Linked DNA regions of Arabidopsis thaliana. The main gene of each other region encodes a partner of the protein of the gene in region 3 in a complex. Each region holds a gene or a part of one and is shown on either strand. Other genes may lie near its edges.

Region 1 (7,412 bases), on a different chromosome or scaffold from region 3:
TATGTGTACATATATAAGCGTGTGTAAATAATGTTGCCAATGCAGGAAAGTCTATATTGCACAAATTTCTAGGCTATGAGTTTTTTCTTTACGTATGAAAGCTTTTTAATGGAGTACTTGGAAAAACTTCACGATCGAAAATTAATATCTTTTACGTAATTTACTCTAAGAGATGATATGATATGAGTGAATTATATACCATGAACAAGGTATACTAATATTAAATATTTTGAATAGCATGAAGTCGGTTATTGATAGATACAACAAGAGCAAGATCGAGCAACAACAACTATTGAACCCCGCATCAGAAGTCAAGGTATACATATAGATATAGCGACAACTCTAAAGATATGTGATTATATATTGATTGATGCTTTAGCATGATGTTTGATTTTTGAAATGAGATTTTGGTTTACTGAGCTGTTCAAAGTTTGATGAGTTATTTGTGTTGTGTGTTACAGTTTTGGCAGAGAGAAGCTGCTGTTCTAAGACAAGAACTGCATGCTTTGCAAGAAAATCATCGGTATCGCCTTGAACTTTTATAACATTTTGTATTAAGAATTAGTCTTTGATCAAAATATAGAAGGCATGTAAAGGAAATGAAGAAACTTGTAGTTATGGATTGCGGTATGTTTGCTATGAAGCAGGCAAATGATGGGAGAACAGCTAAATGGTTTAAGTGTTAACGAGCTAAACAGTCTTGAGAATCAAATTGAGATAAGTTTGCGTGGAATTCGTATGAGAAAGGTACATAAATACATATACTCTACCTTCTATTATATGCTTTGGAGTGTATTACTCAAAAGATTGACTATAGAACACAACGGAAATCAATAGAACGATTGCTTTTCCGGATTCACAGGAACAACTGTTGACTCAAGAAATCCAAGAACTAAGCCAAAAGGTCACTATGATGAGATATATATATACACACACTGACACACACAAATATCCCCTACCAAAAGTTACAATTCTAATTTTGGGATTTTTGTTGATCGTGGTGCAGAGGAATCTTATTCATCAGGAAAACCTCGATTTATCTAGGAAAGTACAACGGATTCATCAAGAAAATGTGGAGCTCTACAAGAAGGTAACAAATCATGTTTTACAAAAACTCCATTTTCTTTGGAGTAAGAGCTTCGAAGTGATATGGCTTCGACTTTCAGGCTTATATGGCAAACACAAACGGGTTTACACACCGTGAAGTAGCTGTTGCGGATGATGAATCACACACTCAGATTCGGCTGCAACTAAGCCAGCCTGAACATTCCGATTATGACACTCCACCAAGAGCAAACGAATAACAGAGAGGTAAACTTTTTTAATTGATCTTGATGTTTCACAAACATGCATGCACCATTTAGGCATTTTATATATTTTATGTAACTCGTTAAAAACTTTCACAGATTGAAGTTGGAAGATACCATGATGTTGAAGAACACTCCAAAGGCCTTGGTTTGAATAAGGTTCTTGAACTGGAAACCTCTATACACCAAGCCACGTACGATAAGCAGCATGGTTCTTCTAACATAGTCATATTTTCAATCCTAAATATAATTAAAGCATATATAATTAAAATCCGGTGTTGTTATACTCATCTTGAGTATTAATATTGTACTTGTTTATAACCATAGATTCGTCAATTAATAGAGAAAAATCATATGAATTATTATCCTCAAAACTCTCTCAAATATCAATATTCTTAGATCAATAATTTGTTTAATATATATAACCATGCACTTGGTAATTCTAAAATGTTAAATAAACATTTTCTGTTAAGTTTTTTGTTTTGTTGGTTTTATTTTGTAAATTCACCATAATTCTGTTAATCTTATTCCCCCAAACTAACCGGTTTGGAAACTATATAAATTAAATTGATGTGTGATAACTGAATCGGTTATCGTTGACTGCACTGACCAGAAACCAATAAAGGTTCTGTCTTAAAGGGAAACAAATCATCGTCGTCACCAAATCATCACAATTCACAAAGGTTGGTGTAGACAGGGACCTGAGAGATAACGACAAAGAAACAACAAATATAAAATAAAAATCAGAAGAAAATATAAATAAAAAAAGAGGGAAAAAATTCGAAAATTTGCTGCAACCACCAAAAGCTCAGCCAAAAGCAGAGGCCACAATTCTCTCAAACAAGATAAACCCAATTTTGTTATTTTTGTTCTCTCTTCTCTCTCGTTCATGTTTCAAATCTGTTTCTAGGGTTTCACAAACCAGAGATAGAGAGAGGTTTAGCGAAAAATGGCGATGGCCATGGCTCTTCGAAGGCTTTCTTCTTCAATTGACAAACCCATTCGTCCTCTTATTCGATCCACTTCATGTTACATGGTAACAACCCTAAAGTTTCTTCCTTTTATCTCCGAATTTTATAATCGGATTGGAAATTTTCGATTTTTTTTTTTTTTTTTTCTGATTTCTGTTTGTTCCGTTGCAGTCTTCTTTGCCCAGTGAAGCTGTTGATGAGAAGGAAAGATCTCGTGTCACTGTGAGTTTAAGCGCCTTTTTGTATCTCTTGTTTGTTTATAGTTTTCCTTGTGGTTGAAGCAATGGTTTTGATTGTTGAAGTTCTATGTCTGTTTCAAATTGATGTATGGAGTTCTATTTTTGGTGTGACTGAATCTAATGAAACTTATGTCTTTGTAAACGTTCGTTTCAGTGGCCAAAACAGCTTAACGCACCTTTAGAGGAGGTTGATCCTGAGATTGCTGACATTATTGAGCATGAGAAAGCTAGACAATGGAAGGTTAGTTTGTCTCTGAGATTACTATCTCTTAAATCTTGTTCCTTGATTGATTATTATAAGTTAGGCTGATGTTTGTAACGCTTGTGTTATTATAGGGACTTGAACTTATTCCATCTGAGAACTTCACATCTGTGTCGGTGATGCAAGCTGTTGGGTCTGTCATGACTAACAAATACAGTGAAGGCTATCCTGGTGCCAGATACTATGGAGGAAATGAGTATGTTCAGGAATTTTCAATCTGACACATTTAGTTTCAGGACATGATTGCTTGACCAATCTCTGTAATAAGAATTGAAATCTCAAGTACCTTTTGCTTTGTAGGTATATAGACATGGCAGAAACCTTATGCCAGAAGCGCGCTCTTGAAGCTTTCCGGTTAGATCCTGAAAAGTGGGGAGGTAAATTACTACTTTCATGTATATGAGAAACAAGAAATCTGATTAGTCCTTTGATGGCTTATTTGACTGGATCTTACAGTGAATGTTCAACCTTTGTCTGGATCTCCTGCCAACTTCCATGTGTACACTGCATTGTTAAAGCCTCATGAAAGAATCATGGCACTTGATCTTCCTCATGGTGGTCATCTTTCTCATGGTTATCAGGTGCCTTCAAGTTAACTTTGTATGTCATTTCGGAACTCTCTGACTCTGATGAATAACAGTTTCTTTCTTCTTATTTCTCATCAGACTGACACCAAGAAGATATCAGCTGTGTCTATCTTCTTTGAAACAATGCCCTATAGATTGGACGAGAGCACTGGCTACATCGACTACGATCAGGTTCTTAACTCTTCTATTAAGCAATCATAGTAACTTATAACTAACCCGCTTCATAACAATACATAAGTCTTTAATTTTGATTTGCAGATGGAGAAAAGTGCTACTCTTTTCAGGCCAAAATTGATTGTTGCTGGTGCAAGTGCTTATGCTAGATTGTATGACTATGCCCGCATCAGAAAGGTAATTTCAGTCTCATATCCAACTACAGAACAGATTATTGTAATCAGTAGTGAGTTTTGATTCGAACTCTTTTCCCAGGTCTGTAACAAGCAAAAAGCTGTAATGCTAGCAGATATGGCACACATCAGTGGTTTGGTTGCTGCTAATGTAATCCCTTCACCGTTCGACTATGCTGATGTTGTAACCACCACAACTCACAAGTCACTTCGTGGACCCCGTGGAGCCATGATTTTCTTCAGAAAGGGTGTTAAGGAAATTAACAAGCAAGGGAAAGAGGTAAAAAAGAAAAAGAAGCAAAATTTGAACCAAAATGTTTTAGATTTATGTATAATCTTTCACGTCATTCATTTGTTGTCTTGAAAGGTTTTGTATGATTTTGAAGACAAGATCAACCAAGCTGTCTTCCCTGGTCTTCAAGGTGGTCCACACAACCACACTATCACAGGACTAGCTGTTGCTTTGAAACAGGTACGGTGAGGCACGGAATGGAACTAACGTTGCTTATTGGATTTGCGGTTTCTGTAACCTTCAAATGGTTTGAAAATGCAGGCAACTACTTCAGAGTACAAAGCATACCAAGAACAAGTCCTGAGTAACAGTGCAAAGTTTGCTCAGGTACTAATCCCGTGAAGGAAAGAAAAACACATATGGCGTAGTATCTACTTTGATTATATCTCTACATTGTTGTTTCGTGCAGACTCTAATGGAGAGAGGATATGAACTTGTTTCTGGTGGAACTGACAACCATCTGGTTCTAGTGAATCTAAAGCCCAAGGTCACTTGATCTTTTTTTGTATATAATCTTCTTTTATATTTCTTAGTTAAAACTCATTTTTTATTCGATTTTGTTTGCAGGGAATTGATGGATCTAGAGTTGAGAAAGTGTTGGAAGCTGTTCACATTGCATCCAACAAAAACACTGTTCCTGGAGATGTTTCTGCCATGGTTCCTGGTGGAATCAGAATGGGTAAAAATCACATTTAACCATTTTTCTTTTTGGTATTCGAATGGAGTTCTTCTTGATATCCTCTGCCATTGTTATTTTCAGGTACTCCTGCTCTCACTTCCAGAGGCTTTGTTGAGGAAGACTTTGCCAAAGTAGCTGAATACTTCGACAAAGCTGTGACAATAGCTCTCAAAGTCAAATCTGAAGCTCAAGGTTTTTACTTCTCTGATCACGATGCTATGCTTTCCGTTCTTATATACAATGATTGAACTCATTTGTTATGTTTCTAAAACCAGGAACCAAGTTGAAGGATTTCGTGTCAGCAATGGAATCCTCTTCAACCATCCAATCCGAGATTGCGAAACTGCGCCATGAAGTCGAGGAATTCGCTAAGCAGTTCCCAACAATTGGGTTTGAGAAAGAAACCATGAAGTACAAGAACTAAACTGTTTCACCCCACAAGTGTTTTCTGTTATGCTTTGAATTCCCATGGAATGTATAGATGATACATGTAAAACTCTATTTTCACGCTATGCGAAAAATAATGATCTGTTAAATTTTCTCTCTATACATCAAAAAGAAATATACTTAGACAAAAAAAACACATACAACAAAACAGTGAATTCCCTAAAGAAGATTGTCTTTAGCTCACAAGTGACTTAAGAGTAACCACAAAATACCAACAAAACGAGAAAGGGATAAATAAGAAACTAGAAGTTGGGAGAGGCTCATCCACAAGCTGTGGTCATTTCTCAACCTCATCAAATCTCTTTACAAGAATATGGTTCTGTAACCGGACAACATCTCAAAACTTGTTCTGTTTTTTTTTTTTCATTTCTTAGACAGAAAAATGGTTGCAGCATTCTCTTACACTGCCTGCACCAAGCTTTCTCTATTACATCCTTCTATGGTTGCTCAAATCCGACCAAGAACAACACAAAAGGCGTTCGTGGTGACAAATCCGGAACAAGACAGTACTCTTGAAGTACAAGAAACAGAGACACTCAAAGAAGAGCAATCAACAGAGAAGATGAAGAAGCAGCCAACACCATTGAGACCAGTGGAGAAACAGCTGAACGTGAAGAGCAAGGGTATGGGCGATTTTGGTGGTCAGTGGCTAAGCAGTGTCACACGTCACGTTAGGATCTACGCTGCTTATATTGATCCAGAGACTTGTGAGTTTGACCAGTCACAAATGGATAAACTCACTTTGATTCTTGATCCTACTGAAGAATTTGTGTGGGATGATGAAAGCTGTAACAAGGTCTATTCTTATTTCCAAGAACTCGTCGATCACTACGAGGTAACGATAACAATAAACGAACGAAACATTCATCTAAAAGTTAGACTCATTTCAAGAAGACCTTATAATATTGTTTTTGAACAGGGAGCACCATTAACGGAGTACACATTGAGATTGATAGGATCGGACGTAGAACATTACATAAGGAAGATGTTGTTCGATGGAGAAATACAATACAATATGGATGCAAGAGTTCTTAATTTCAGTATGGGAAAGCCTCGTGTACAATTCAATACCAGTAACATTGAAGGTGGTGGAGATGGTCAGCCTCAAGAGGACGCTTAGTGAAACAAACTCTATTTTATAATCATGTAATGGGAATATAAATATATTGTAGTATGCTTTTTAATTTTGTCTATCACAAAGTAACATATGTATATATCATGACATATGCTATAATTATTTTTGTAATAATCAATCTTAAGTTTCTTTGTCTTTTCTTGTTAATGTAAGGTCTTAAGGTCATGTGAATATGTAATGTCAAAGAAACTCAATTCTGGTCTTGCTCATTCATGTTCCTTACTCCTTGCCTCTTTTTAAAAAGATTTCAAACTGATGCAAAACTTGTTAGTTTTAACATTTTTACCCAAAAAGTTATATTAAGTTTTTGAATTTGTCAACGTTTACTAATTATTTACAATTAAAACCCTGTTCTTCTTATCCTCTGGTGTTTCTCGTTGTTCGTCACCAAGACGAACTTTGTGAGGGAGAAAAAATGGCGAATTTACTGGAAACATCAATCTTTTTCTCCTCTGCTGATAAATTACTGTCTTTCCCGCCTAAGAATTCTCAAACCCATCATCTCCCTTTCTCTGCTTTCATCAATGGAGGAAGAAAGATACGCAAAAGCTCAACTATCACCTTTGCTACCGACACTGTCACTTACAATGGCACTACAAGTAAGCTCATAAACCCTAAATCTCTAATCTTTCTGTCTAATTACCAATAAATTCTATTTCTTTAGATTCCAATTTGTATTAATTGTCACCATTAGATAAGCTAAACCCTTTTCATAGACTAGGATTCGTCTAGTTAGAGAAGCTTTTTTTATTGAAGATAGAAATTTTGTGTTTAGGTGCGGAAGTAAAAAGCTCTGTTGAGGATCCAATGGAAGTTGAGGTTGCTGAAGGTTACACTATGGCTCAGTTTTGTGACAAGATTATTGATCTCTTCTTGAATGAGAAACCTAAAGTTAAACAATGGAAGACGTATTTGGTTTTAAGAGATGAATGGAACAAGTACAGTGTTAATTTCTATAAGCGTTGCAGAATCCGAGCTGATACCGAAACTGATCCTATATTGAAGCAGAAACTGGTATCTTTGGAAAGTAAAGTCAAGAAGGTATTTATAGTGTTGTATTTTGTGTTTATTAGTGAACTCAGGTTAGTTTATTGTTGTTGTTGTGTACTTATAGGAGTGAGTATTGTTGCAGATAGATAAGGAAAT
Region 2 (7,462 bases), on a different chromosome or scaffold from region 3:
AGTTTAACCTAAAAAAAATGTTAATTATTGTATGATGCTAAATTTATGTTAACTTTAGAAAAATTTAAACTTGATTGTACTTGTTATCAAATTTACGGAAGTTTATAAAGTAAGATGTTGCTTTTATATTGATGTTGGTACAACGCGATAAAGATAAGTAGGAACTAGGAAGCAATAGATCTCCTCCGTAGTCAAATATGTGACTCTGTGTCAGAAGAAAAGGTAAAGAATTAAAAAAACCATTGGCATCACGAGGAAAGTAACTCGAGGAAGGTGTAATAAACACGTTAATGATACTACTAATTTTAAAAAAAAATTAATTAAGAATTAAAGCAGTATTCTTCTTCTTCTTCTCCCTTTTAAGTTTTAACAACAAATTTTACTAAGTACTAGTCTAATCAACCGATTAAAAGAGTCGACCAACTTTTGAATAGTGTAACACAAAATCAAAAGTAGGAGGAACACAGCGACAGTTAACAGATTTGTAAACACTTGTCACCTACATCTACCGGCCCAACTTAGCTACAAGTCTGCAACATCTGCGACAAAATATTTTGGAACGTGGTGGATTCGTTTTATCGATCAATGTATGCTTTCCTTGTTAACTATTTCAATGTGCATTTTAACATTATTTGTTCTAGTCATTTCATTTTTGGTTTTCAGTTTGTAACTGATTGATACAAATAGTAGCAATTGGATACGGTGGGTGGCAGCTTTGCAACATGTTTCTTATCTTATATTTTCAAATTTGCACTCCTCATGTGCATCAGTGCATGTAACATGTGATGTACTTTATACGTTCAATTTATTTCGTTTAGTAGAAAATAAAATATTTCCACACCAATCCAAGTTTTTACGTATTAAAAAATATGTATATACCAATTCCATATCTAAATAAAAATAAAAATGCATATCTAGTCCGAGGGTATTTGAGGAATTTACAATAACCAACCAAAGTGTATCAGAGAGAAGGAAAAGAAAAACATTAATTTCGCCCAAGATATGCCGTACAAATGGGTCCCCTCCGTTGGATCCATAAAACGACGTCGGTGTAAACGAGTATGACTACGACGACTCTACTACGAGTTGCGAACTGTTGGCCGGAAATCAATTTCGTCGTCTTCATCGACTCTTTCTCTCCCTGAATTTTCTCTGGCATTTCGAATTTATAGAGGTACGCGAGTCAAATAATCTTCACTATTTACTCTTCAAGTTAGTAGTCATCGATACCGCTTGACTCGCCGCTACTTTTTCTATTCTTCTGCGTTTTCGATCTTTCGCGGTTGCAGTAGTTTACGGCGCCGGAGTTAGATTTCGGACTGCGAGGATTTGTTTGAACTTTTTAGAGTCCTTGAGTGGGATCGAGGTTTTTTGCTTTTGTTTTGAGTAAATTTCGTAATTGTTTGAAATAAGATTTGGGAATGTAGATAGATCTCTGCTCTTTAATGTTATTGCTGTTGAACTCTCATAGTAATGTGTTTATCTTACCATTTCTACTTTGAAAGGGTTTCATTGGGAATACTTAATACTAAGCTAGAGGTCGAAAATTCATCTATAATCTTATCTTTGGTTTTGTAATCGCAGATGCTAAACTTATGTTGTTTGTACTTATAATGGCGTCTTCTTTGTTACTTTTCAGGTACGCATGGCTGCCAAGGCTTTAAAAGATTTGAAGAATCTTCCTGTCTCTGAGAGGAATATCGACTATAAAACAAAGCTTTTGGTTGGCAAAATGAATGGAACAGCTGAAGATAAACCACCACAAAACTCTGTCCCCTTTGATCACAATCATCCTAAAGGCGATGAGATTGAGAAACCTGAGGCAGAGAGAGTTATCGTAGAAATTGAGTATATAGAATCCAAAGACTTGAACAATGTAACCCAAGTTGATGCAGTTCTCAAGGTATCAATTGTTTTTTCCTGCTAGTATCCTATGCTTTACTGTGAATTCTCATTTGTAATGCTGCCTTGCAAATTTGCAATTATATTCATCTGTTTAGAATTTGGACATTGGAAGTAAGTTGTTTACCTAATACCATTCTGGAACTGCTTTCTTTATTATTCCAGTCACTTGTAACCGAGCTAGACTCCAAGGATTGGGTTTTGGTCTGTGATGCTCTTAATACCATTCGTCGTCTTTCCATATTCCACAAGGAAGAAATGCTGCATATGCTGTAAGTCATTTTCTTTCTACTCGTGATTATGATCAGTTTTAGTAGAGCGAGTTACACGTCGAGAGAATTTTCTAGTCTCACGCTGTCAGCTCTTACAGGGAGAAAGTGATCCTGTTTATCGTGAAATCACTGAAGAACCCAAGAAGTGCTGTAAGTAAAACCGCATGTATGACATCTGCTGACATCTTCAGCTCATATAATGACCATACAATCGATCAATTGGATCTCTTGGTAAATCATCTTTTGCAGATACTCTTGGAATTCTCCTCAAATAGCGGACATTTGTGTGTTCTTATAACAGTAACTCCGAATTCCCTTCTTACAGCTTACTCAACTCCTCCTTAAATCTTCCCAAGACAAGCGATTTGTTTGTGAAGCAGCAGAAAAAGCATTAGTAGCAATGACTGCACATGTTTCTCCTGCCTTGCTGTTGCCAAAGCTTCAACCTTTTCTCAAGAATAGGAATCCTCGGATCCGCGCAAAAGCATCCACGTGCTTCTCCCGATGTGTTCCCCGACTGGTAAATCAAACTGCACTCGATATCATAAAACCAGTCTTGTTCTTTTGTTTTGGATTTGTCATGTCATCACCATGACAACCAATTTGGATCCAGTCCATGTTCCCACCAACATCACCTTTCTTTGGCTGTGTAATCATTAGGGCATTGAAGGCATTAGAGAATATGGAATTGAGAAACTAGTCCAAGCAGCATCGTCTCAGCTCAGTGACCAACTCCCAGAATCTCGGGAGGCTGCACGGGCAGTCTTACTGGAACTTCAGACAGTGTACAAGAAAACTACTAATGTCGAACCGAAGGAGGAGCATCCAGAGCCAGTCACTTGGCAAATCTTCTGCCAATCAAACCTCTCACCTCTTAGTGCACAGGCTGTGATACGTGTCACCAATGTCGCAGGTGTGGCTCGAGAGGGTCTTGTTGCGGGTTCATGACAGTCACAAGCCCTCAGTTTGATATTGTAAGCCTCTGTGAGTAAACGTTGTACGACCACTGTTTCTCTATCTTTGGTTTATGGGTTTGTTTCTTTATTTTGTGTGTGAATATGTCGATGTGGTAAGATAAATCTCAACGACTCAACCGTTAGTTTTAGGCAAAAAGTTAGTCGGTTTATTTGATATATATCATGTTTTAGTCTATATTACATTGGTTTTCTTAAAACTTTTTTTTTTTTTGGCCAAATGTTTTCTTAAAACTAAGATTTCAATATTAAACATTTAGTGCATATACTCTTCTTTCTGTATCTTTGATTGAAAAATTAAAATCCAATTCGTTATAAATTTGATCATATTTTGGTCTATACATTACATTTTTTTTTTTTGATTACTAGATCTCAATATTTTTCCGCAAAGATTACAATTTATGACCACAGAGTTATCAACCATGTAGGATCATCAATAGCAAGTAAACCGGTATAAACCGAACCAGGATCATGCCATTCTGGTCATTACCTCTTGAAGAAGAAACTTTGTATCTTTATAACACGATTCCGTCTCTGCTAAGTTCTTCGTCTTAGCTGCATCTTCAAGCTGTGTCGAAACACCAAGAAAACAACAAATAAACATATAGGATATATCAGAAAAGAGAAGAAATTTTAAAAAAACAATAGTCTCTTCGGTTTGAACGAACCAGGACTTCATTAGTACACTTACCTTTTCGAAATTGTCGAACAATCTGTTGGCTAAATCAGTGAGAGGTTGCTTGTCTTCAGAGGCAGCAGCAGAGATGAGATTGTCGAAATCGTAAAACAAAAATGTGGATTTAAGCCTCAAGTACTTTTTCACATAGTTTAAAGTATCTGGTCCGATCAAATCCTCCATTGCCAAGAGATCAAAAGCATTCTTTTTAACTCTATACATTCTTCCTTTCGTCCCGATATCCGCTACATACACTCCTTTCTTTATGAATGTTCTCGTTCCCGTCTTCTCATTCACGATATCTGTATATTCAAATCGAGGACGAATTCAAAACCGGAAATCAAATGATTCTACCAAATCGAATTCTCATCTTGAATAGTTGTATGGCTCAAAATGTTCAAACATTTGAAGAAAGAAAACAATCAAGAATATAAAATGGCGCTTACTGTTGTAAATAGGAGGAATTGGAAGAGGACCATCAATCCAAAACCCATTGTCTTGTGCCAAGGAAACATTATTTTCGCCGAGAATTCCGGTAAGACCTATTGAGACAGCAAATCCTAATGTCATCCGTCTTGTGATCTGTACCGAATCCGGTTCTTGAAATTCTTCAGTTCTCCTGCAAGCAAACCCGCTGGATTTCCCGGTTTTACGACTCTCGGGTAGTTTCGGAAGAGACGGTAAAGTGTTGGTGAGACTGTTGAGGTCTATGAAGTGAGCCATTGCAGTTAGAGAGTAAGCTTTAGGTGTCAGCCTCTGTTCTTGTGTATTGTTTACGGTTTTTATCCGTTATAAATGAGAAAAGCGGCCATCACAAAGATTTTATCTGAACCAAGGGGTGTTTTCGTAATTCAATATTTTAACTACTCGCTGTTCCTGAATTGATAAAGTAGAGTTCGTGCCGTTTTACGTGACAAAAAAAACTTGTATCTTCTTTGCTTTTTCCTTCACCGATCTGTATTGCCGAGTGTCGCCGATTCCCCAAAATCTTCCCTCCGTTGCTGATCATAAGCACGCCGTTTCCAATCGAAATTCTCCGTGTTATTTCATCGTCTCTGCCATCTTCACTGTCTCGCGTCGCCGTGTTCGATTGAGGTACTCCCACTGCTCCGATTTGAGTATTTAGGGTATGTGTATGAGTGGATTTGACGGTATTGTGATATATCTCAGTTTGGAGTTCTCTCTCTCTGGTCTAAAAGAAATCGTGGAGAGTCCAATGGATCCGCAGACGCAGAACACTTCGTTGCAGCGACTCCAGAATGTTGAGAATGTGAAATTTTGGAAAACTCACTCTTTCCTTAGAGATTTTATTGGACGATTTGATGTGAATGTGTTTTTGTGTTTTTATTTTTGGTTTTCCGGGCAGAGAGTTGTTAAGGTTTTGGAACTAGCTGGTGGAGTGATGGAAGAACTCGCGAGCCCTTCTGGTCCCAAGAAAGAGTTCGTCAACAGCCATTGCCGAGAGTTTATGCAATCTATGAAGGTTTCTTACTCTATCTCTTCTTCAAATATTTTCTGATTTCTTTTGCATTAGTGTATTAATAAACTACCTGATCAAAGAACATTGGGGATCACTTGACACAAGTCTAGCTAGATTAGTGTTCTTGCTGACTCAATCTCTCTGGGGAATTGGTATCTTTTCTCGAGTGTTGATCGTTTGGGCTAATTTGACACAAGTCTATATTAGGGTTCATTACATTTCCTGATCAAAGTTAAGGGCTTTGTTTAGAATTTTGATTTTGGTTTTAGTCTTCAAGATGGCCGCTGCTTCTCGTTTTGTGATTCTTCTGTGACTAGTTAACATATGGGTTCATGTATCACAATCTCTAGGTTTGTATTCCTTTCCTGTTTCTTAGGATTTGACATTGATCCTTTATTCTTAGGCTTAAGGTTTATGAGTGATGGATGCTGATATTTTCATATTGGATGGAATCTCACTGTTTAAAGAACATTTGGGCTCTCATTTGACACATGTCTAGATTAGGGATCATTACATTCTGTGAACAAGTAAAAAGCTTTTGATTCTGCTTTTTTTCTAGAGATAATCATAAAGTTTGAAGATATCAGCTTCATTGTCTGGTTCATGAACTTGTTGATCTTTGACTGTACATAAATGTGCTATAATGTTATCGCCAATCCATAATAAGATGAAGTTCTTGTGAAACTTGCAGGATATACAAGTGACACTAAGGGAAGAGATCAAAAGCGCTTGCGAGTACCGTCCCTTTGAGAAATGCGATTACAACGCGAGAATAGCCAATGAGATCTGCTTCCAGAAGCTTGAATATGTTCTCACGCAGCTTGAAGATCTGAAACAAACTGCTGACCGGTATCCTTCTTCTGATTGATATTGGTATTCATAAAAAGGTTACTTGAAGAACTATACTAAACCATCGGTTGTGATATAGTTTCCAGATGAGTTGTAGACTTGTAGGTTATCCCATTAAAGTATGTCCGGTTTTTACGAATGAGTGGCTTGTTGCAAAAGTAAGATATTATCCTACTTACTATATTAGATTTTGCAAAAAGATTAGGTGATTTTGGTTAGAACATTCACTTGCAATGAATCTGTTCCAAGAATATTAGATACATTACATCCACTGGGAGTTATCAATTTCAGCTTATGGAGAAATCGAACCAATTTTGGGCCAGAGAGAAACGGACCAATTTTATTGCGGTTTAATGTATCGATCAATACTTGGAACCAAATGTGCTAACGTCAATTACGTATATGAACCCCTTCATTCATATGTGGTTTAATAAATTAATAGCATCAACAGCTGAAATTCCCGGTTAGATGTGATAAAACCAAAGCGGTTAAAAAGGGTTAATGAGAACCAATATTGCCGGGTTGGCGGTTACGCCGTTTTGTGCTCTTCTGTTTTAGTTACAGCTCAAGAGACGCGTTGATTGGAGAAGGTGATAGAAATCTCTTGGGTAGAGGGAGAAAATTAGGGTTTAGAGTTGGAGATGAGAAGAGGAACGACGATCTAAGGAGACAAAAGAGAGTAGCTAGATCAGGACGAAATTCCATATTTCCTTCGTTTCTGTTTCTCTCTGAGAATGAGTCATCAATCGCCGCCGATCGCTGAAGTTGATGCCACCGACGATATGCACGAGGCGTTGTTCGCGAAGCGAGGTTGTTGTTTCCTCATGCCCTGCCTTGCCTCATCTCAGCCATCAACTCGCGGCGGATCTGTGTGGTGGCAACGGATCACGACCGTCGACAAACTCGAACCCGACGAGCGATGGTGGATCCGAGGGTGGCGGAGGATGAGGGAGTGGTCGGAGCTCGTCGCTGGACCTAGATGGAAGACGTATATCCGCCGGTTCGGACGCAGCAACTGCTGTGGAGGAGGAGGAGGGAGAGTCGGAAACAGCAGCGGAGGATGCGGAGGTGGTGCAATGCCTAACCGGTCATCGGATCAGGGTAAATTCCGGTACGATCAGTTGAGCTACTCGTTAAATTTCGATGACGGAAATCAAACCGGACATTTTGACGACGAGTTCCCGTACCGAGATTACTCGATGAGATTCGCTGCGCCTTCCTTACCGGTTTCCACTAAATGCTCAATTGATTTCGATAGCGACATTGATAACAAGTGAAAGCCACGCGCTCGACTTTTTATGTTGTCGTG
Region 3 (8,852 bases):
GAAATCTATGTGGTGAGTAGTTATCTGATGTAACAAGTTTGTTACTTTGGTTGTGTTTTTTTTTCCCAAATGACATCTAAGTAAAGTTGTGAAATGTTGGTGTTATAGGTGCAAGCGCATGGATCAGATGGGATGGTAGAGGAAGAGAACTGTGTGTTCTTTCTTCCTCACAAACCAAGAAGTGAAGTTCTTGAAGTCCCAGTCTTTCTATTCATGAAAGGCACTGGTAAATAACTAAACACCATTTGATAAAAAGTCTTCAAATCTATCTCATATTTTTGGACTTGGTAATTACTAAACTCATCTCACTGGTTCAGGTTGGTGTGGTGGTGGAGCAGACCATTACGAGCCCTTGATAGCGAATCCATCTCCTCTGATATCTCATGAGAAAGTCGCCCTCGTTCTCTGAATTTTGGAGCTTCTTCAAAATCACAGTTTTTGGTAGTTTTTTGTTATTGTATTGGTAGAGAGAATCAATCATGTTAGGGAGGAGAGAGAGATGAAATTCGCTCAGGTTATTATTAGCCTGCGAGTTTGAGCTGTTTTTTTTATCAATTGTTGTAGTTTGAGAAGAAGAGTATTTGATTTTTTGTTCGTTATTGGGGATGAAAACGGGAAATTCTCTTTGTCTGTTTCAGAGTTGTGGCTGTAATGTAAAAGAGTGTAAACTCATAAGTTTTGTTTGAAATGAAAAGTTCTCAGAACAGAGCAAAATCTTCAGCTTCCAACTAAATTTGCATCAACCATAATGATCATCTACGAAAGTAGCTAAATAGAGAAAGAAAGAAAGCATCTTTGAGAAAACGTATATTCGGAGATGTCTCTGTTATGAAAAAAAAAGAAAGAGAAAGAGAAAGCAAAAAGGTCCACTTGAGGTATTGGTTGAATTGAATATTATTTTTGTGTGCAGACGGGCTTCACGTAGCCATACCAGCACACCAGTGAGCATTTTAATTTAGACAACAAAAGACTTAACCTTTGGGAGATCTCAAAAGGTTCTCTTATTTGCAGTATCGCCCCTTAAATCCTTTTTCGATGTTTCTTATGTTCATCATTATTTTTTAACTAAAAATCTCATCTTTAGACAACAATTCAATTTGCCATCTCTCTGTTGTATCTTTGACGATGGCGGCTTTGTCTTCCTCCGTCACCACCCGATCATATCATTCCGGTTATTTGGCTTCTTTCTCACCGGTTAACGGTGACCGACATCGATCACTCTCGTTCCTGTCTGCTTCTCCTCAAGGATTGAATCCTCTTGACCTCTGTGTTAGATTCCAGAGGAAGTCTGGTCGTGCTTCTGTCTTTATGCAAGATGGTTAGTTTCATTCTATCTTTGTTTTCCGGATTAGAATTGACCAAATCTAAAACCAAGCTTATTTATTAACTGCACTTGAATCTCTGAATACAATTTCATTAGGCAATTAGGTGTCTATGTGAATTAAATGTGATATTGATATCAGTAGAAGAGGGGTTGTTCTGACATTTGGATTGGGTGTTAGGTGCAATAGTCACTAATTCAAATTCATCAGAGAGTAAAACTTCTCTTAAGGGATTGAAAGATGAGGTGCTATCAGCTTTATCTCAAGAAGCAGCCAAGGTTGGAGTAGAATCTGATGGTCAAAGCCAGTCAACAGTTAGTATTACGGTGGTTGGAGCCTCTGGTGATCTTGCTAAGAAGAAGATTTTCCCGGCTCTTTTCGCCCTTTACTATGAAGGTTGTCTCCCTGAGGTATTGCCAAGAAGATGGTTTTCTTCTCTATGATTTGCTATTTTGATCGCCTGTGTGTGTGTTTTGCACATTAAAGTCTAGTGATTGACAATTTGATTTTGTTGTGTGGCAGCATTTTACAATATTTGGATATTCTAGGAGTAAGATGACAGATGTTGAACTTAGAAACATGGTCAGCAAAACCCTCACTTGCAGAATTGATAAGAGGTTAGCAATTGTAGCTACTGAAAAGTTTCCGGTTTTTGTTTGTCAAGACAAGTCTTTATGCTTCAATTCAGTTGGATATGGGTTTTTGAAGATAATTAACTCTGAGTATTATGTCATTGTTCCATTTGGATTTCAGGGCAAACTGTGGTGAAAAGATGGAAGAATTTCTCAAGAGATGTTTTTACCATTCTGGTCAGTATGATTCTCAGGAACATTTTACTGAATTGGATAAGAAGCTCAAGGAACATGAGGTATTGAACATTTGTTCTCTTCAAATCAGTAAACTAGAAAATTGGAGTCTACTTCTTTTACATAGTGGTTCTTATCCTTTGTATTTCTGTAGGCTGGAAGAATCTCAAACCGCCTCTTTTATTTGTCTATCCCTCCAAATATATTTGTAGATGCTGTGAAATGTGCAAGCACTTCTGCTTCATCTGTCAATGGATGGACTAGGGTTATCGTCGAGAAACCTTTTGGTCGAGATTCTGAAACCTCGGCTGCTTTAACGAAATCCCTCAAGCAGTATTTGGAGGAAGATCAAATTTTTAGGTGAAAGATAAATGCACTTATAGCTTTGTTTTGTTGCAATGATAATACTATTGGATGCTTGGCTGATATGATATTTTGTTGCAATGATGATACTATTGGTTGCTTGGCTGATATGATAATGAAAATGTGTTCTTACAGGATAGACCATTACCTAGGAAAGGAGCTAGTCGAGAACTTATCTGTTCTTCGATTCTCAAACCTTATATTTGAGCCGCTATGGTCAAGGCAGTACATAAGGAACGTGCAATTTATATTTTCTGAGGATTTCGGCACTGAAGGACGTGGAGGGTAAAGTGCCTGTTTACCATTATCTAGCTATTCATGTCTCTTCTGTATTGAAAGCTTATGTTTCCTTCCTGTTCTCTTTTGCTTAATTCAGGTACTTTGACAATTACGGAATAATAAGAGATATAATGCAGAATCATCTGCTTCAAATCTTAGCCCTCTTTGCCATGGAAACGCCTGTTAGTTTGGATGCAGAGGATATCAGAAATGAAAAGGTATGATAATTTCTTTCACTTTGCAATTTGGGTTTGATTCAAGAAAACATATAATGAAAGTCTCATGCACAATTCAGGTTAAGGTGTTACGTTCAATGAGGCCAATTCGAGTTGAAGATGTGGTAATAGGACAATACAAGAGCCACACAAAGGGAGGAGTCACATATCCTGCCTACACCGATGATAAAACTGTACCAAAAGGTAGTCTGACTCCAACATTTGCAGCTGCTGCTCTTTTCATCGACAATGCAAGATGGGACGGTGTGCCCTTTTTAATGAAAGCGGGCAAAGCACTACACACCAGGAGGTAGGTACCTAGAACTTCGCACTTGTGGAATTTTGTATATTGACTCTTACTGATAAGTAAAATTACAGTGCAGAGATAAGGGTGCAGTTCAGGCATGTTCCGGGGAATTTGTATAACCGGAATACTGGTTCTGATCTTGATCAAGCTACAAATGAGCTTGTGATCCGTGTCCAACCAGATGAAGCAATCTATTTGAAAATCAACAACAAGGTCCCTGGTTTAGGAATGAGATTAGATCGCAGTAACTTGAATCTTCTATACTCAGCAAGGTATTCAAAGGAGATACCAGATGCATATGAGAGGCTTCTGTTAGATGCAATAGAAGGAGAAAGAAGATTGTTCATAAGAAGTGACGAGCTTGATGCAGCTTGGTCGCTATTCACTCCATTGCTTAAAGAGATTGAAGAGAAGAAGAGAATCCCTGAGTACTATCCTTATGGTAGCCGTGGTCCTGTTGGTGCTCATTATCTAGCTGCTAAACACAAGGTGCAATGGGGTGACGTCAGTATTGACCAGTAAAACATTTTCTTGTTTGTATTCTCTTTTTTTTACATTGATAATAGATTTATCTAGGATTCAAGCTTTTTCTACGCCTCTTTTTACAGCTTTAATTTGTGCAATTTGGTTATGTACCATTTAATAAATAAATAAACCAAAGGGGTTTCTCTTATTCTCTACAAGGAAAATGTCTTCTTTTTATGGTGTGCTCTTCTAGTATTCAGAGATATCTTGTATCTAGAAAAGGTTGACCAAAAAGAAAGAACACTAAAATACAAACATGTGATAGGTACAAGTAATTATATTGTTCATTAATCTGAAAGCAGACTTTATATACAAATTGATCGGATACATGTTCAACAAGTCCGCTGTAGCACACATGCCAATTTCACAACAGAATTTGAAATCCGGGCTCAAACCTCGGCAGCGTAATACTTTTTGGTTCAATTAGTTAGTTTTCAATAAGATATCAGACTTTAAATACAAATCACTCATATACAAAACCAAAAAGTCCGCTGTAGCACACAGGCCAATTTCACTACTCAATATGAAATCCGGGATCAAACCCCGGCAGCGGAATACTTATTATTTTAATTAGTATTGTTTTCAATAAGATATCAGACTTTAAAAACAAATCCCTCGTATATAAATCAAACAAGTCCGCTGTAGCACACAGGCCAATTTCACTACTCAAAATGAAATCCGGGATCAAATCCGGGCAGCGGAATATTTTTTGTTTCAATTGTTGTTCTTACTTTTTTATGAAGAGATCGGACTTTAAATACAAATTGCTCGTATACCAAACCAACAAATCCGCTGTATTACACAGACCAATTTCACAACTGCATCGACTACTCTTGAATCTTCAGATTTTGTATCTTAGTAATGCAACTGAACCGCTATAACACAATGGTTAATTTCGAAACAAACCAATGAAATGAAATATGAGTTCAACACCCGGCAGCGGAATACTATTTCTTTCTTAAATTTTTGGAAGAAGGGGATACAAATCCATTACACAAAAGAAAGGGTTGTAAAATGCAAAAACAAGCTCCATCTCATGTCTACAAGATTTTGGTTAAATGATCTTACTTTTAAGCTTCAGACATTGGAAGTTGACCACAGTCTGCTATCACCACTTTCTTTCTGGGACGGTCTCCTCTGTCTGTCTCTTGTTCCTCTATCAGCTTCACCACTTCCATTCCTTCTATTACTTGCCCGAACACCACATGTCTTCCGTCCAACCATGACGTCTGTCCACATCGTTATCGCATATTAATTTGATATACACTAAATTTCCCAACAAAGCTTGGATGGTTCTTCGTTTCCAATTTCAAAACTCTACTCTTTAGGTTATATTATTGGATTCTATATACTGTAATACCTGTGTTCTTTATTGTTGATGCTCGCTTGCCTACGTATAACTTCTAATTTAACAATAGGCCTTAACCAGAGGGAGATTTTACCTTAATAGTGCAGATAAAGAACTGACTTCCATTTGTATTAGGGCCAGCATTTGCCATACTTAGAACTCCTGGTCCGACATGGGATACTGCAGCGTATAGCACATTATTACTTTCATGAATTTTATAAAACTGAAGGTTTGGTATATATTATACTCAGCTCAGCTAAAAAGAGAATGCAGAAATGTTTAGTTAAAATGCATTACCACTGATAAATATGAATGCTAAAGCACAGCTGGGGAGAATGAAGAAGAAGGAAACAAGTGAAAAAGGATAGACTTACACTTGAAATTCTCATCCTTGAATGTACGGCCATATACACTTTTACCTCCAGTTCCCTGCTCAACAATTAGACTTCTGTATCATTATTATGGAATTCTCCTAGCAGTTACTAGAAGAATCTTCGGTAACTGAGATGGGCAGAAACAGAAAATAACAATATATTTCTACCGAGCTACAGCTAGTTGCATACCCACGAACCAGTATATAAGTTCCCTACAGCCCAGGTATTATCTATATAGAAAAGAACAAAAGTCTAAGATTAACAGGGGTTGTTCTTCTAAAGCCACTGATCTACAAATCAGAGAGCCAGCTATCAGAAAGATTGTCTGTAGAAAGCTCTCCAAAGGTCAGGCTTTTTCCTATTAATGTACCCAAACATGTGCTTTCAAGAGCGACTCTAAATCCGTACAAGTAAGAACTTAAGCATCCTTCCTTATCGAGAAAGATTTGACTTATACTATGTACCACATCCAAGAAATTAATAAACATCCTGCCATCCTGATATGAGACAGCTTACTTTACTTTGTGATTTGGCAGAAAATAAGATGAACCAAAGTAAATCAAAAGAAACATAATATGGACCGCAAGTCAGCTAACAAGAAACTGGTGCTGCCAAGGAATTCAGCCAGAAAAACTCACATTGCCCTTCTCAAAGTCTCCTCCCTGAATCATGAAATCTCTGATGACACGATGGAATGTAGAACCCTTGTAGCCAAATCCCTTTTCACCTGTGCATAGAGCACGAAAGTTCTCCACAGTTTGGGGAACATCATCACCATACAATCCAATAACAATCCTCCCAGCTAACTTCCCCACTGGATTGCCAACACTTATATCGAAATACACCTTGTGTGTTATTTTCGATTGCGGTTCAGTAACCACCTGGAATACAAAATCCACATCATATTATGATTCCATAGCTTTTAGTAAATCTAATGGAAAAAAAAAACTAAGAGTAAGCTGAATAAAACAACCAATTCCATCAAATGACATCAGTGACTAACAAGATATGAGAGAATCCCTAACCTCAGCATTGGATTGAACAGAGAAACAGCGGTGGTTTCTTTTGGTATAAGACGTGTGAAGGAGGAGCGATGAGGCGGAGAAGGGAGTTGAAGACGAGAACGAGATTGAATCGAAGGAAGATTTGGTGCGCAATCGGAAAGAGGTAGATGTGAAAGCGGAGGTATTGATCGGAGAAAGTCTTCGTGGAGGAGCTGAGAGCGACTTCGGATTTGACTATGATGATAACCGAAAATTAGAGCAGGAGAAGCAGAAGAAGCGGAAAGGTAAAACAAAATCAAAAGTACAAAAGGGAAAAATTAAACGCACCAGAGTCATCGACAAGGTCGCCATTGGAGCTCAAAACTCTTGCTCGCGTTTGTTGGCAAAAATGGTAGGTGAAGGTGAAGGTGACGATGAGCGAGTGATAGCACGAAAGAGTCTGAGAAATACATTCCATGGTTATTTACAGTTATGCCCCTGCCGGTTACGTGGCTTCGCATCGAGTCAATTTTGAGTGGGTCAGGTCAGCCGATCCTATGAAGCATATTTACCTGTGCAAAGTGCAAACAAAGAAAAACTCATCGTATCAAAATGACACTAATCTCATAAACTAAAATACAAACCTACTATAAGAAAATAGTGTGTTCACTATTTCTGATATTTATTTAATATAAGAAAATAAAACCATAAATACAAATCAAAAATATTTTTTCAAAACAAAATATGCATCGCGCGGAAATTAACCGAGTCATATAAAAAAATTATAAATTAATACAGTTATAAGATTATATGTTGTCATTCATTACGGAAATAGAAGGTAGAGTTGATCTTGGGCTCAAGCAAGTAAAAGGCATCAACAATATTTATATAGTAGTAAACGACATCAATTTTTTTGTACCATGTATAATTTAACGGTTAAACGAAATATAGTTCAGTGTTAATTCCGTATAACATGAATTGGTAACATGCTCAATTCTCAAGACTGATTATTTGCAATTTTTTTAAAAAAATTGGGCTTTAAGCTTTTTAAAAAAAATCTAACTTCATGTTTTAATCCATATTATTGATACAAATTTTCTCTTAAAATTAGTATTTATATGGTAAAATTTTGAAAACATATTGGAAATTTCTTAGAAGTTACAAAAGTTTAGTGACAATATGACGAAATTTTTCGATGAACAGTTCTAAAAAACAACAAAATTGTGTAAATCTAAAGAATATTTATTTCAAAAAGGGAGAAAAAGAGGGAATGTCATTTGTTACTAAACAAAATGTAATAAAGTTATAGTAGAGAGGCTTTAGAGCAAGTTAAAACTAATTAAACCTTGTATCTGAGACCAACTCCAACGGCAGCCTCTAAGGGGCTTTTGAGGGTTGGTCCCTTGAATTATATAGCCCAAAATAAATTAGAAATCAGTTTAATTGAGAGGGTTGTTTCTCTCTTACGGTATTTTTCAAACAACAAAGGGACCCTACATGGCAAACTTCTATTGGTGGAGAGGGAAGAGAAGGAAAAATATGACCCAATTTTTTTCTTTTCATTTCGGTTGAATTGTTTTCATTTCGTTATTTCCATTTACGATGGCGATGTCAATGTTGATGAAAGATGATATGTGTCGAGCTCCTCATCATAGGGCGTAATAATCAAATCAAAGACTAAATTGAAAAAAATCGTTTGGTGCATCTAAATTCATACTACCAGAATCAACCATCTCTTCACAAGTTATTTTAACTACTCTACAGATATGTCTTCAAATCTCGGTAATTTTATGGTCTCTCGTGCTCGAGTTCGTGATCGGGCTATGCATCAACAATTGAAAGGTGATTTGGTTGAGCATATATAACACAAATTTGGTGGGAATCAAACTAACTACTAATTGTTATTCCGATTCTCAATATTCATTTCTTGTAGGTTTAAAATTTTAGTATTTGTATTAATTATTAAATTTTATAAAATAGAATATTTATAATTTTCATTTTAATAATATTTTTTACTATAAGAAACTCACTAAAAATTTCTACCATTAAACCAAGAAAAATTAAGAGACCAACAAAATCTCTTAAATTCAAATCTCAAATTTTAAAATTAAAAAAATTGGAAAAAACCTATTAAAAGTTTAACCATTAGGGTTGCTCTAATAACACAGATGGGCCTGTGAGTTACGAAATTGGGGCCGGGAAGCTGGACGGTTTTATTTGTAAGTCGCGCCACTCACTTTTCTATAAAGACGCTCCCACTACTTGAAGAGTCTGTGTGTCGTGCGTGTCTCACGTCTCTCTCTCCTCTCTCCCACTTCAAGCTGCTTCAA
Region 4 (8,075 bases), about 13 Mb from region 3:
TGTTCAATCTAGTCAAGCAATTTTGTTTAGGACAGTACTATAATTTTTTAGTCCATGTATTATTCAATATTATTATTTATATTATTTCTATTTTTTAGAAATGGTAATTTAGAATTAAATTGTGAAATTGTTTTCATTTTCCAAATAAAAAGGCTATTAACATTAAAAGAAAAATGAAAACATGTTAACAAATGAAAAATCGAAACTAAAACTGGATAAAATAAGTTTTGTATTAGAGAGGGAAGATGCAACTACCCCAACGAAGCTTTTAATGTTTTTAGACAGTTGAGATTTGACACCTAAGAGACGGCGATGACTTTTATCCCAATTGGGGGCTTTTAATTTGGCCGCGTTCTATGCAATTTACTCTTTTACCCTTTCGTTGACCCGTTATCTTCGAAACTACCCTCTTTATGTGCACAACTTGAAGACAGTTACATTTTACGTGGCCGTGTGAACTTGTGTAAATTAATCATATTATATGATTCATATATAGATGGAAAATTAATAAGTGAACCGAAATAGAAGTTTGTTGAACCAAATATGAGTAATTGTGTGGGTTATTGCCATTAAAACTAGTCCATCCATTTCATGTTCTTTTGAATGAAATTGAGCAAGTCTTATAAATACCACTTAAAAAGGTTTTTGTAAACAAAAAATGGCATACATGTTCTAATTGGTCTACTAATACCATTTTTAATCCAATGTAACTTAACTAACCATCCCTTAAGTGAAAATTAATCAGATAGTTAATGTCATATTTTTTATGTTTCAAATTAAGGATGTTCAAGATTTTTATACAGTTGGATATCAATTATAAAGAGTCCCATTTCAAAACCCGCGACTAGATGATGAGCGGAATCATCGACCGGCACAGTCCCAATTCAAAACCATTTTGCAGATAGAGAATCATACATTCTCTGTCACTCTTCTATATTAATACCGGTTGACATTGCAGCTGCAAACAAAGAAGAAGTTTGAGTTGTGGTGGATATTTTCAGAAAAACCAATTAGATATAAGATTGAGGATTTTGCTCATCATAAAATAATCTATAACTTAAATGTAGTCAAAGGAAAAACATTGCACTTTCTTTATCGCCTACTACTATATTTATTGTGAATAAATTTTAAGATAATACAAAAAAAACTATTGAACCTCATCAGAAACTAATTCACACTTGATTTTTCCTTTTTGACCAAACGAATCAAGAAAAACATTGCATTTTCACATATGTTATATCATTATCAAAGAGGTTGTAATTTCATAAACAAAAGTCTATATTTTATTTTTTACATTCTTTTTTCGTTAAAAGGCTTATAAAAGTCTATTATTTACACTTTACAACATAGTATTCACTTAAATATTTTCATTATTCTATCTAAAACTAATTTGTATATGAAATCATAACAAACAATTAAAAATACAGTTCAAAACACCAAAATTTGCCCCAAAAAAAGAAATCCAAAATTTGATAATCGTTTCCGATCGAGTTCTATTTGACTTTGTATTGACTTGCTTTGGTCTGGTCTCATCTTTAAATACCACGTTCTAACCATTCTTCATGATTTTATTCCCGCGGCTTTGGTGAAAAACGTTTAATTTTCTTAAAATGATGTTGTAGACAAGAAAACTTTGTGTCATTATCAAGAAAATAAGAAATGATGCCATTCTACCAACTCTGAACTTGAAAGCCGAAGAATCGTCACAGATAGTTTTTGTCGTAGATGTGTCATAACGAGAGAAACTACGGATCATTTGTTCTTTACGTGTCCACACGCTCGCCAAATATGGAGAGCTTCGAACATTCCCCTTCCGAGTCTATCAAATCCCCAGGTGCATTATGAAACAAAAATTAAAGAGATTTATGAATTTCATAAAAATGCAGGACAACATACAATGCAAGGGCAGCTACCTATCTCGATCCTTTGGAGAATATGGAAAAGCCGTAATAAGCTAGTGTTCCAACGAAAACAGAACGATTGGTGGAGAGATATCAGAGATGCTACAAATGAAGCGGAAGAATGGATCACAAATGGCTTATGTGCGCAAGTTCCCACTCCGAGTACGACTAATGGCACAACTAGGCAGTTTCAGAGTCAGTGGCAAAAACCACATATGGGATGGATTAAGTGTAATTACGATGGCAGCTTTGTGAATCGAGTTCGTGGCTCTACGGCAGCTTGGATAATTAGAGATGATAACGGCGTGTTCAAAGGGGCTGCTCAAGCGACAGGTGCGACCGTTTCCTCAGCCTTTGAAGCAGAATGTCAAAGCCTAATTCTTACCATGCAACAATTATGGATAAGAGGCTTTAGAAAAGTAATACTTGAAGGCGACTGCAAGCTCCTAGTCAATGTTCTGAATGGAAGAGGCTCAAGATTTGATGCTATCAATTGGATCCATGAAATCAAAGTTTGGAGAAATAAGTTTGACGCAATCAAGTTCACGTGGTCACACAGATCAACAAATCAACCTGCTGATATTTTAGCGAAAAACCAGAAACATGCTCTGTCTTCATACATAGTTCATAGCTTTATCCCATTGTGTATCTCAAATGCTCTGTTTTCAGACTACGTTTCCTAAGTAATAAAAATGAAGTTCGTGTTAAAAAAAAAAAAAAAAAAATGATGCCATTAACTCATATCATAAGTTCATAACCCAAAACTAAACTATCGTTTCATGTGTACTAACTACTTGTGAGATTTTCACAAGTCAATAACATGCGTGTGAATCTTTAACGCGTGCGTGATAAGTTTTGTATTTATATCATCATTTGGTATGTGTCAACACACAATTTGGGGAGAGTTTGTGTGGTAAGTAATGCAAAAATATATGTTTGTTATATAACATAGAACTGATTCTAATTGCTAAGAAAATTCCTACCAAACGAAGCAATTACGTTCAACAATTATTCTTAGAAGTTTGAAGAAACCATTCTCTACCACTCCACAATTCTTTCTTCTTCATTGGTTTTACAAATTCTACCTTTTCAAGTCATTCTTAAATCTTAAATAAACAAAACCAGTTTGAATTTTTTTTCGTAGTTGGTAGAAAAGTGTGTTCCAAAATGAGTTCTTTAGAAAAAAAATATTTCCAAAATGAATTATGATTTTTAATCTCTCTGCACCTTTAGTTATATCGGTAAGATATCTCAAATTCTTCAAGCAAATTATGGTACATATTTTCTATAGATAATATTGAAGAAAAAAGGAGCTTAACTAGTGTTGATTTCAACTATCGGAATCAAATATATATTTGCATTTCATTAGACACTAAACCTTTCAACAAAAAAATAATAATAATTCAATAAACACTACATGTGTAAGTGCATGTCACATGGATTACAAATCATTAAGCTAATATCTTCGATGAATTAAGAAGATAAGTGGATAACAAGTACCTAACCGCAATAGTCCATAAATTAAAACATTAATGTATTTGTCGTTGAAAATTTGGCCGACTTTTATTTGTTATTCTAGTTTCCACATCAAAAATGTTTGTACTTCGTAGCAATCCATCCACCTAAACCCCAAATCTTAATTTATATTTGTTGCGTTTAAATTTGGGTGAGATTTGATTCTAAGTAGTTGAGATAAATTGATATTCTATTCATTAGTAAAATGATAGAGAAATTGGTTTATAATAATTTTACCCTAGAACATGACATGATATTGGTAACCATTAATCAAAGAAAGAGCAAAGCATTTAATTTACCCTACTCTCCAACCACTCCAGCCTTTATTAGTTGCAGTTGGGAATCATTTCTTTATGATTCTTATGTCATTGTCTCCTAAATCAATGAAGTGCCTTGACCTTGTTACTAATTCGAACATAGCAAAGCCAACTACATAGATCCTTTACAAAGTTCTAAAAACAGGTTGTTTAGGCGTCTAGACAAACAAAACCATTTTGTACGATTCAACAAATTGGTCCATAGAATGTTATTGATCTTTCTTGTTTAGGCATTCGATAAATCGGCTAATACATTATTTTTTTGTTTTGCTTTTTCCTTATTAAAAATATGCAAAGTATTATGATGTTTAACCTGAACTGAATTTTACATTTAACTGGATATAGGAAAATATTGGGTTGAATTTAATAATTAAGCAATTGTCACGTAAATCAAATTGGGCTTAATATATATTGTTGATTTCAGCAAAGACAAAGTTGGGCCGTTTCAATAGTCTTCACGCGATGTAAGCGTTCACTAACCAACTAGAGAAGACAATCAAATGAATACGTTCCACGTGACGCTTACGAACTTGTCAGTCACTTTGGTAATATGACAGACAGTAACCAGTAAACTACTAATCTCTTTCGCTAACGAACACACAAAAAAAAAAAGAACCGTTTTTTCTTTCTATGGCTCCAAAACTCTGAGACAGAGCAAGAAAAAGATAAAGTGAGTGAAAAAATGGCAACGGTCACGATTCTCTCACCCAAATCGATTCCAAAGGTCACTGATTCCAAATTCGGAGCTAGGGTTTCTGATCAGATCGTCAATGTCGTAAAATGCGGCAAATCCGGCCGGAGATTGAAGTTAGCGAAGCTGGTCTCAGCGGCTGGATTGTCACAGATCGAACCAGACATCAACGAAGACCCGATTGGTCAATTCGAGACTAATAGCATTGAAATGGTAAAGATTCAATTGATTTTAAATTCATAATTCTGCTGAAAGTTGTTTCTGATTGGTTAGCGCTTTTGTTAATAGGAAGATTTCAAGTATGGATATTACGATGGAGCTCATACTTACTATGAAGGAGAAGTTCAAAAGGGTATAATTTTGGTTTCTCCTATTGATTCTTGTCGCTGTTTCGATTTTAGAGCTATAATATTTCTTTGTTTGATTGATTGATTAGTCTTCTTGGAAATGTTTCTTAGGAACATTTTGGGGAGCAATTGCTGATGACATTGCTGCTGTGGATCAAACTAATGGGTTTCAAGGTATGAATTTAACCCGCTTTTTAGTGCTTTTTATGTACCGCAGATTGATTGAAAACTCGCGGTTTTTTTATGTCTGCAGGTTTGATCTCTTGTATGTTTCTTCCTGCTATAGCTCTTGGGATGTATTTTGATGCTCCGGTAACTTCAAAATCTTTTGCTTGCTTCCAAAATTTATCATTACTAGTTTTATCGCTTTTGTTTTGTGGAGGACGTACAAGAGATTAGATAATTAAGCCAAGTATGAGAAGAAAAAGAATCACCAGTGTTTGTGTGTGTGTGTTGCAGGGTGAGTACTTGTTCATAGGTGCAGCGTTATTCACGGTAGTGTTCTGTATAATAGAGATGGATAAACCTGACCAGCCACACAACTTCGAGCCTCAGATATACAAATTGGAGAGAGGAGCTCGTGACAAGCTCATTAATGACTACAACACAATGAGCATTTGGGACTTTAATGACAAATATGGTGATGTATGGGATTTCACCATTGAGAAAGATGATATCGCCACACGATAAGATAATGGATTGTGATCTCGTTATAATCATGACTTTTGATGTAAACTGTTTTATAAAATTGATGAATGAACGGGGTACAATGTGTATAATATTGATTGTTCATTCTCTTATTTTTCTTTAGTACCATAAAACCTAGATTCTCATCTTGTAGTGTTAGGTTTCTGTTCTTCACTATATGTTTTTTTAAGATCTAAGTACCTCGTATGGACCCAACGAGTTTCCATACCCATCATTAGTTCATACAATGGTGGATAAACCATACAATTTGAGGTTGACGTATGCCACACGCTAACTTCATCCCCTGGTCCAAACACAACAATATAGTGTTCCAGTATTGTGGAAGAGTCCGAGGAGCTAAACACACCTTCGAGTTCTATCGAGTTGGAACATCAAGTGACAAACCAGCTCCACTCCTAATCCCTAGTCTCTCTACAAGAAAATGCTTTAACGTATCTCTGACACTTTCTTTAATATTGTGCAAACTATTCGTAAGTTCCATACCAGTTTTTACTATGATACTAGATGAGTACCCACGCTACGCGTGGGTTTGTTTTGAAAATTGTTAAAAAATATTTAGATTGATTGTTAGTTTTGCTAATTTATGTTTATTTTTGTATTGTTAATGAAATTAGATCCATATTATTTACAATTTTTATGGTTAGATTCATTTGTAACTCGAAATATCAATTTCTAATTTTCATGTATAAAGCTATTTATAAGATGTTAATATTTGTTCACTATCAAAAATACATATAACAACAATATATGATATTTTGATACAATTATGTGTAACCATGTTACTTGTGTGGTTTAAAATTTATCTTACTCGATTATAAATAAATCAATTCTTTGTTTTATGTACTTCAACAACATTGTGATAAGCTCATGATTAAAGTTTTGATTGACTTCAACTGAACAAGATCTGAAGAGTATTCGTATGAAAAAGGGGTATGAAGAAAATAAAAAGATAGCAAAAACTAAATGTCATTTAAGTCAACACTTTTAGATCTTCTGTCATTGCATATATCAATATTAGAAAAATGATCGTGTTTTGCATGATTTGAAAATTGTCTAACTTGATTATAAATAAACTATTTTTGGTTTATGTATTCCCTGATATAATACTCCAACAACATTGTTATAGGCTCATGATTAAATATATAGAATTAATATAAATTGAACAAGATTTCAAGAGTATTCATATGAAAAAATAAAAAGAAAGCAAAAATGAAAGTATCATTTAAGTCAATACTTTTAGATCTTCTGTCATTGCATATATCCATATAAGAGAAATGATCGCGTATTAAATTATTTGGTAGGTCTTATAGAGTAGTGATTATTGCTATAAAAAAAATTTAGTCATTATAGAGTAGTGATTATTGCTAAAAAAATATAAATAAAAAGAATATAATGAAAGTAGTGCTTAATTTATTAACATATTTTTTTGTTTTTTATTTTTATTTTAAAAAAATCAATCAAGAGTAGGATTGATGATACATTTAATTTGTTTATTTAATTTTATTAATTTTTAGTTTTAAAAATATCGAATGACACATGTCATTTTCTTGTGTGATAATGTGTCATTCATATGGAGAGAGTTGGTCAACTTTCATATATATGATTTTAAACATAGATAAACCCTCTTACTATAATATTCTCTTATTCATCCTATTTTAATTAGTCAATCAAAACATTTCATACTATATTTTAAAATAAATAAAAATTAACATGAAAAAGGAACAAATTAAAGAAACAAAATGTGTATACTTTTAATTAAAGAAAATTAAATATCGGTTTGTGTTTATAACTAAGAGTTTGATTTTAGATTTTACAATTAAACAACATTATATGTCGTTTTGGGTTTATAAAAAACATTTAAGGTTTAGATTTTACAATAAAAATAAATTATATGTTGGTTTGGGTTTATAAAAATGAGGTTTAAGGTTTAGATTTTATAGTTAAACAAAATTATATCTCGGTTTGGTATTATAGAAGAGTATTTAGAGTTTAAATTTTACAGTTAAACAAAATTATCTGTCGGTTTGGATTTATAAAATGGAGGTTTAGGGTTTTGATTTTATAATTAAACAAAATTATAAGTCGGTTTGGATTTATAAAAGAATGGTTAGACTTTAATTTTTTACAATTAAAGAAAATTCTATGTCAGTTTGGATTTATAAAAGAATGGTTAAGATTTAAATTTACAATGAATTCAATTTAGTGGTTTTAATGAATTAAGCTTTTTATATATTTAGGGAGATTAATTGTTTTAATTTGTTTAAATATATTATATGGTAATTTTTGATTGGCTAATTAAGAGGGGGTGAATGAGAGAGGTTCACTCCTAAATGTGAACCCAAGAATTATTTTAAAATAATAGACCACTACCACTAAAGACAATTCTTGGGTTCACCCATAGGGGTAAATCTCTCTTATTTAACCAATCAAAATACAACAAATATGACATGTTATACTGTATTTAAAAATAAAATTTGGCGAAAAAATTTCAGTTTCTAATTACATGTTTTCATTAGCTGATAGGTAATTTGGTCTTTCAATAAAAAAATATTTTTTAAAAAGGCCAACATAAAACAGTATTGTTGGAAATGTGATA

Evidence for each region.
Region 1: Pnsl5 (region 3) and NdhM share a complex: the UniProt entries of both Arabidopsis thaliana proteins name them as parts of the chloroplast NDH complex.
Region 2: Pnsl5 (region 3) and PnsL3 share a complex: the UniProt entries of both Arabidopsis thaliana proteins name them as parts of the chloroplast NDH complex.
Region 4: Pnsl5 (region 3) and PnsB5 share a complex: the UniProt entries of both Arabidopsis thaliana proteins name them as parts of the chloroplast NDH complex.

The regions. Positions count from the first base shown.
Region 1 is NC_003075.7:17,829,587-17,836,998, reverse strand, and holds NdhM (subunit NDH-M of NAD(P)H:plastoquinone dehydrogenase complex), read left to right. Parts: upstream 1-5,379; 5' UTR 5,380-5,513; coding exon 5,514-5,966; intron 5,967-6,050; coding exon 6,051-6,251; 3' UTR 6,252-6,466; downstream 6,467-7,412. Other genes in the region: AGL21 (AGAMOUS-like 21), read left to right, coding at 238-316, 462-523, 648-747, 863-904, 1,007-1,090, 1,167-1,304; SHM1 (serine transhydroxymethyltransferase 1), read left to right, coding at 2,257-2,343, 2,450-2,500, 2,672-2,758, 2,854-2,975, 3,080-3,156, 3,236-3,360, 3,445-3,537, 3,625-3,717 and 7 more; AT4G37920 (endoribonuclease E-like protein), read left to right, coding at 6,682-6,865, 7,042-7,307, 7,399-7,412. UniProt on the Arabidopsis thaliana protein: NDH shuttles electrons from NAD(P)H:plastoquinone, via FMN and iron-sulfur (Fe-S) centers, to quinones in the photosynthetic chain and possibly in a chloroplast respiratory chain.
Region 2 is NC_003074.8:165,563-173,024, reverse strand, and holds PnsL3 (PsbQ-like 1), read right to left. Parts: upstream 4,618-7,462; 5' UTR 4,548-4,617; coding exon 4,271-4,547; intron 4,127-4,270; coding exon 3,840-4,126; intron 3,717-3,839; coding exon 3,618-3,716; 3' UTR 3,363-3,617; downstream 1-3,362. Other genes in the region: AT3G01450 (ARM repeat superfamily protein), read left to right, coding at 1,646-1,903, 2,068-2,174, 2,273-2,405, 2,500-2,694, 2,835-3,122; AT3G01435 (uncharacterized protein), read left to right, coding at 5,041-5,307, 5,996-6,172; AT3G01430 (NHL domain protein), read left to right, coding at 6,888-7,430. UniProt on the Arabidopsis thaliana protein: NDH shuttles electrons from NAD(P)H:plastoquinone, via FMN and iron-sulfur (Fe-S) centers, to quinones in the photosynthetic chain and possibly in a chloroplast respiratory chain.
Region 3 is NC_003076.8:4,157,827-4,166,678, forward strand, and holds Pnsl5 (cyclophilin 20-2), read right to left. Parts: upstream 7,098-8,852; 5' UTR 6,895-7,097; coding exon 6,871-6,894; intron 6,778-6,870; coding exon 6,565-6,777; intron 6,421-6,564; coding exon 6,178-6,420; intron 5,595-6,177; coding exon 5,540-5,594; intron 5,346-5,539; coding exon 5,260-5,345; intron 5,047-5,259; coding exon 4,888-5,046; 3' UTR 4,548-4,887; downstream 1-4,547. Other genes in the region: AT5G13100 (Gap junction beta-4 protein), read left to right, coding at 1-12, 109-226, 318-409; G6PD2 (glucose-6-phosphate dehydrogenase 2), read left to right, coding at 1,126-1,318, 1,503-1,732, 1,845-1,939, 2,076-2,190, 2,283-2,488, 2,627-2,776, 2,868-2,988, 3,066-3,295 and 1 more. UniProt on the Arabidopsis thaliana protein: NDH shuttles electrons from NAD(P)H:plastoquinone, via FMN and iron-sulfur (Fe-S) centers, to quinones in the photosynthetic chain and possibly in a chloroplast respiratory chain.
Region 4 is NC_003076.8:17,577,486-17,585,560, reverse strand, and holds PnsB5 (NAD(P)H dehydrogenase 18), read left to right. Parts: upstream 1-4,285; 5' UTR 4,286-4,415; coding exon 4,416-4,637; intron 4,638-4,712; coding exon 4,713-4,776; intron 4,777-4,882; coding exon 4,883-4,945; intron 4,946-5,024; coding exon 5,025-5,083; intron 5,084-5,230; coding exon 5,231-5,461; 3' UTR 5,462-5,694; downstream 5,695-8,075. Other genes in the region: AT5G43755 (non-LTR retrolelement reverse transcriptase-like protein), read left to right, coding at 1,789-1,834, 2,001-2,234, 2,334-2,584. UniProt on the Arabidopsis thaliana protein: NDH shuttles electrons from NAD(P)H:plastoquinone, via FMN and iron-sulfur (Fe-S) centers, to quinones in the photosynthetic chain and possibly in a chloroplast respiratory chain.